2 linked regions of the Kluyveromyces lactis genome follow. The protein of the gene in region 1 interacts with the protein of each later gene in a pairwise test. Links are inferred from orthologs where the notes say so. Each region holds a gene or a part of one and is shown in the gene's direction. Other genes may lie near its edges.

Region 1 (3,485 bases):
ACATCCAAGGATTCTTTCAAAACTTTTACCGGGTCTTTCCTTGTTTGACAGAACACAATATATAACGCTCTTGAAAGAATCTTCTCAGCTCTTTCTCTTTTCCCGTGTCTCATAATCATATTCGTTACATGCTGTAAAACTGGATCCTGTTTTTTTGGAATGGGAACTTGCTTCAACGTTTCCCATTCATTTATTTGCTCTTGACTTGGCTCAAAGCTGGGCTTGTTCAATTCCATAGCCTTCTCCAAGATATTAATTCTAGATTGGTTACCTGGTGCAAGGGACGTAGCTGGGTTATAATCTTGTTGCGAAAACTCTTCTTCTAACGATCCAATAACTTTCAACCATTCATCAACCTGTTCGTCGCTAAGGCTAGCTAATTTCTCCCCTGTAGACGCATTATTATTCACAGATTGACTTTGGAATCTGGTTTGCATGGTCGGTATACTGGCAGCATGTACAAGTGGACTTCTTGCCAAAACGTTAGCATGGACGTGACTCAGACTAAACCTTCCTGCTCTCAACATACTGTACAATTTCCGTTGAATAGATGCCAGTGTACACAAGGACCACACAAGGACACACACAATACAACCAGAACCTATTCAATCTAAGAGTAACTCTCATTAGATCCAAATTCAAGCTTACTTCACCAGAATATGATGATATTGAATTTGGTTTGAAAATCGTAAATTTTTTTGATCAAAGGTTCAGAGATGAGCCAGTGTGAACAGTGTTACCCGCATAAATACACGTGACTACTAATGATCTGTTTCTATGTGCCGTTGGTAGTTTTGCCTGTCAGTGCATTGAGCACAAGCTTGCCAAGAATAATTAATGATATTATATAGACTGTACCTTATTAGACACCTTAGCCTTTAATATTATAGTAAAGATGTCGTTGATCTATTTTGTATTCAGGTATGTAACTATAGTATCTTTAGAACTTCCGTACTTAAGTGTTAAAATTCCTGCCGTTCTTAAGTGAAATCCTTTAAATAATATCACATTTCGTTACGTGAAAAGTTGGTGAAATTTGTTATATGCGCACAATATTATGTGAAATGATAAATAAAAGAAATTTGTTCAAATAACATGTAGGTTTCTAAGCTACAAAGATAGAACGGTCAATCAACAGACTAGAGAACGAACTTTATAAGGCTGCTGGCTGAGCTGGGATTGGCTAACCGTGTACTGTCTATTGGGACTAGGTGTTACAAGTCCGTTGTTTCATATTATTTTCCGAGACTATCCTTTTTATCTATTCTATATCTGCCAGTTTGGAATAAAAAAGGCATCGCTCATACTGGACTTATTTGTGCTAATTAGAATACCCCGAGAACACCGATCTTTCGTTAGTGCCATTTCAAGGAGATCTAACCAAGTGTAATATTACTATACCGTAGAATTTTTTTTTTTTTGCCAGCCTTTCCTACTATCAGCTCATTAATCAGATACATTGTCAATATGATGGGAATAAAATCCAGACATCTATACGACCGTTTGACTAAAATAGTTATCGATAAAGATCTAAGCGCGTTTAACGAAATATCGCCTTCGCAATTGATCCCACAGCTATCTGAACATTTCAGCATAACGATACCGAAGGAGATCTTCAATTATAACGAGGACCAAGAGGAAGACCTTTTACACAGATTGAAAGAGCTATCGAGGTACCTTGTTGTGAAATTTGCAAAAAGAGATAAGTATCCGTTCACGATTCAACGGATATGCGAATTATCTTACCATCCATTACAATATTTCCCTGTGCACAGTTTGCAAAAGTTTGTGTCGGCCATGGAGAAATGTTGCTTGGTGAATACTGATTGGACACCCAGGCTGGGCAAAGAGTGTCCAAACACAAACCCAATGGAAGATGTTTCTCTGATACCTATTGAGTGGATCCGCACGAATAAAGAAGATGAGAAGTCTTTGCAGGCGTTTATTTCGAAGATTGAAACTATAGTGGCTGTAAATTTTGGTTATGATGACTTCGACGACGACAATGAAGATGGTACAGATCATGACATCGGTCGTGGATATGATAACCATGGCGATGTGCTCATCGAGGAATACGAGGAAATGGATGAAGAATTCGAAGATGAGGACTATGAGGATCACGAAGATGAAGAAGAAGATGAAGAAGACGAAGACAACGACAGTGACGTCGACGAAATGGAAGCAGAAGAGGTGGAAGAGGATGCAAGTGACGACATCTCTATAGGCGAGATAGCAGAAAATGATGACCAAGATAATGCACATACAGATGTTACGGACACTCAGCTTAAGTACAATGGCGTTCCTATCGAAGAAGAGCTTCGATTATCTTCAACAAGTAGCGTTTTATCCGTCAGTTCACACGCGGCCAATGAAGATGAAAATGAAAGCATTCTTTCGAGGAAAAGAAATGTCACCGAGTTGGATGATTATCAGTACAAAGAAACCAAGGAGAATGATGGCTTCATAACAACTCCAAAGAAAAGTAAAATGCCCTTGAACGAGTTTGGATCATCGTCATCTATGGTATCCCCCGTAGTATCTAATCAGGAGGATCCATCCAGAAACGATGATTCAAGGATAAATACATTCATTTCTCCAGATACAACGAATTCAGTAACTCAAGCGGAAAAAAATGAGTTATCTACTAGTCCGTTGCAAGACAAAAAAAGAATGTGATCATGCAGCGCATGATTACGCAGTTATCATCAAGAAGTTCCACGCTATTATGTTAGATACAGAATAAAAACACAAGGCCTTAATTTAAGAATTCAGTTAGTTTTTTCATACATATGAAATAAATATAAATAAAGAGTTTATTAATATTTCCCGTGATACAAGGAAAACATAAAGGTCACTCTTCTTAGTATCAAATGAATATATCAGTAGGTTATTTCAGACAGGATTAATTATAATAATTTGATGTTTTTTTTCAGGTTTCGATATAGAAAGTAGAGTGTTGAATTTTTTTTTTAGGATGACTTGAATACCGCAATTTCCAGATTACCTCAAGAGAAAGTCTTGATGGTTAAAATGTATTCAATTGCTCACCAGTAAATGACAGTATCATAAATAAGGACATTGAACTCATATTTTTGTTTCGACGAATAATGAGCGAGATTTTGATTTATTTCGATTTAGCCTAAATTTTCAAATATCATTTGGAATTAAAAAATACATTATGTTCATTAAATGTATTGATCTTGAGGAGCTGTGACAGAGCGAAAAATCGAATGCGCCAGTAAACACCCTAGACTTTAGTCCAAAACAGTAAAATATTGATATAAATCGATCGTGACAAATTTCTTTTTTTGGGGGAATATACACACATGAAATTAAACTGTAACTTATTACTCATCGAGTGATATGGTTATAACAACTCAAAAGTAAATGTTACAGGGAGTAATTCTACTCAGTCGAGTAGAAAAGAGAGAATTGTTTTTAGAATGACCGTCGTGAAATGAGAATATAATATAAAAAGAATTGTT
Region 2 (2,931 bases), about 380 kb from region 1:
ACCCTCCTCGTTGGAAGAATTGTCTATTGATGCCAAATTGATACCTTTAGAAATGGAGCTAGAGATCAGGTAGGAGGTGATCTGTTCCACTTTCCCCTCATCCTCATCAGTGCTTTTATTGGCTAAAGATTTATCATTCTCTAGTACCAATTGGACTAATTCTTTCAACGTGTCAACGTCTACCGAGCCAAGCTTTTGTAAGAAAGTAGTTCCCTTAGTACTTAGAGAACCGTTAGCAGATTCATTAATCAAGTACAATGCAAATTCCAATTTCAATTGGGAATCCAAATCCATTGGAAGCTCATCCCACTCCGAATTTTGTCTATTGGATATCAGGGAATTCGTACTCGTAGTTTGCAAATATTCATTCAACTGTTCATTGGGGTACTTCCCATGCAATTTCTCTACAAAAGAGGTATTGTACTCGTACCATTGGTCCAGGTTATTACGAAGCATTCTATCAAGGGGCTAGCTGCGATCAGTATCTAGCTTGGTTTGGTAGCAACTTACATTTTAACATTCCGTTCATCTATCCAGACGCGTTGATTCCGATCAATGCCTTTCTCAATTACCACGCACGGGACATACATGCAGTTTCCGGGTAATACAAGCACATTATCAACCACGTGATATTTGACATCACCACGCACGAATACCGCCATTCCGATGTCTGGGTGTCATCTTCCGAAGGCTTACATAAGCACACCTCATTACCCGCATGTCACGTTAAATTATCGTTTTTGTGGCCGAAACACAAAAAAGGAAGCAAACTGATAAAAAGAAACGTGAAAAAAGAGTACAGGCAAAAAAAAAGAAACAATGGAAGGAGAAGAAGAAGAAGAAGCAAGATTCTGAACAATTCCCATATACAACACAGGCAAGCATTCCACACTACGCTATATACTGTAGACATACCGGAAAGCGCAGACCGACAAGTTGACTTTTCAGGCTAACCGAAAAATGTAATTGTTGTTACCTCTTTTGATACTTGATACTTTTATTTCTCTTGATACTTGCATTTTGTCTATCTCATCGAATTTTGGAAAATAAGAAAGTAAAGAAGCTTTTAAGCCTATATTGTTAATGATGACTATTCAGTTTACCTTTGTTAGATTAGTTTAAGGTAGGTTTTTGTTGGATTTGATCCAAACTCATCACTATAGAATAATATCGTCAGTTCTTGAACAGGGAATCACTTTTTTTTATCTTTTATACTTCCAGTTGGTTTTAACTTTAACGTCGTCTGAGCATCTGTCAATGATGAAACTCGATGAGATTATAGAGACTCTAAGGCAGGGGAAACATGTTGACGAGGATTCGATATACTCGCTGTGTGTCATGGCTCAAGAACTTCTTATGAATGAGTCTAACGTGACACATGTGGATACGCCAGTCACAATTTGTGGAGATATTCATGGCCAATTGCATGATTTGTTGACTCTCTTTGCTAAGAGTGGAGGCATTGAAAAGAATAGATACATCTTTTTGGGAGATTTCGTGGATAGAGGGTTCTATTCGTTAGAGAGTTTCCTTCTTTTGGTATGTTATAAATTAAGGTATCCAGATAGAATTGTGTTGATACGAGGAAATCATGAAACAAGACAGATTACGAAGGTTTATGGGTTTTACGACGAAGTGGTAAGGAAATATGGTAACAGTAACGTATGGAGATACTGTTGCGAAGTATTCGACTATTTGCCCTTGGGTGCCATTGTAAACAACAAGGTTTTCTGTGTTCATGGTGGATTATCGCCGGACGTTTTATCAATCAACGAAATACGAACCATCGATAGGAAAAAGGAGGTACCGCATGAAGGTGCTATGTGTGATTTATTGTGGTCGGATCCAGAGGATGTGGATACTTGGTCTCTTTCCCCGCGTGGTGCAGGTTTCCTATTTGGCCAAAACGAAGTAGATAAATTTTTACACACAAATAGTGTCGAATTAATCGCTAGAGCTCATCAATTGGTCATGGAAGGTTATAAAGAGATGTTCGATGGGGGATTAGTCACGGTATGGTCAGCACCAAACTACTGTTATCGTTGTGGGAATGTGGCTGCTGTGCTGCGCATCGATGACGATATGACGAAGGATTACACCATTTTTGAAGCTGTTCAGGCGAGGGATAGTGGAGGTAATGTCATTCTCCCTACGAAAAAACCTCAAATGGACTACTTCTTGTAACTTATTACCATTATTATTTGCATTTTTCTCTCTCTCTTCTCGATTTGCTGACCGATTCCCGTGTTATTGGTTCAGTCTTCTTTTCTTTCAGCATTATTTAACAGCATGGTATATCACCCTGATCCTCATTATCAACCGACCATCCTCCCAGCATAGCTCAACCTACAGTTGTTGCTTTGTATTAATATTACCTCTCTTCTTAATCTCATTCAACACAGTGATATACCACATTTCAATAAAAGTATCCCAATAGGTATGTAACAGTAAACTATTTCAATAATTGTACGATTGAATTATATGATTCATTTGATAGCATACATATTATACTGTAATATGGAATTTCTGGTTGTATTCCATTCGAGCAGAACATTTATGACGATACTTTTACCTTCCCTTCAATTTTGGATTTAACGGTAATATTTTGATATTTGATCTTCAATTAAGTATCTCAACCTTAAACGGAGTCTTACAAAAAGTCAAATAGACGTTTAGATGCAAGGGAACAGCTGACCGGGCAATATTCATACACCATGTGGAGATATAATCTAGCACTTACCAGACGAATTTTCAGTTCGCAGCCTGCTGCTCTAGTACGTCAGTATTCTGCTTTCAGAAGGCTTCCTAGAGTGGCAACTCCGGTAAAGGATGTTTCTCGTTTGGGCTTCAATGGCGTGCCAAATATGAACAATGTGACCATCCAGCAGTATGATCCCATTGCAACTACCATTTTAAATGAACCTACCATCA

Evidence for each region.
Region 2: the proteins of PSY4 (region 1) and PPH3 interact in binary tests that used the Saccharomyces cerevisiae proteins (3 or more experiments, as listed by UniProt). The link is inferred for Kluyveromyces lactis from reciprocal best matches to the Saccharomyces cerevisiae genes PSY4 and PPH3.

Annotation. Positions count from the first base shown.
Region 1 is NC_006041.1:510,527-514,011, reverse strand, and holds PSY4 (Psy4p), read left to right. Parts: upstream 1-1,467; coding exon 1,468-2,676; downstream 2,677-3,485. Other genes in the region: RSM7 (mitochondrial 37S ribosomal protein uS7m), read right to left, coding at 1-527. UniProt on the Saccharomyces cerevisiae protein: Regulatory subunit of the histone H2A phosphatase complex, which dephosphorylates H2AS128ph (gamma-H2A) that has been displaced from sites of DNA lesions in the double-stranded DNA break repair process.
Region 2 is NC_006041.1:889,410-892,340, reverse strand, and holds PPH3 (phosphoprotein phosphatase PP4 catalytic subunit PPH3), read left to right. Parts: upstream 1-1,257; coding exon 1,258-2,184; downstream 2,185-2,931. Other genes in the region: PEA2 (Pea2p), read right to left, coding at 1-456; AIM25 (Aim25p), read left to right, coding at 2,715-2,931. UniProt on the Saccharomyces cerevisiae protein: Forms the histone H2A phosphatase complex in association with the regulatory subunits PSY2 and PSY4, which dephosphorylates H2AS128ph (gamma-H2A) that has been displaced from sites of DNA lesions in the double-stranded DNA break repair process.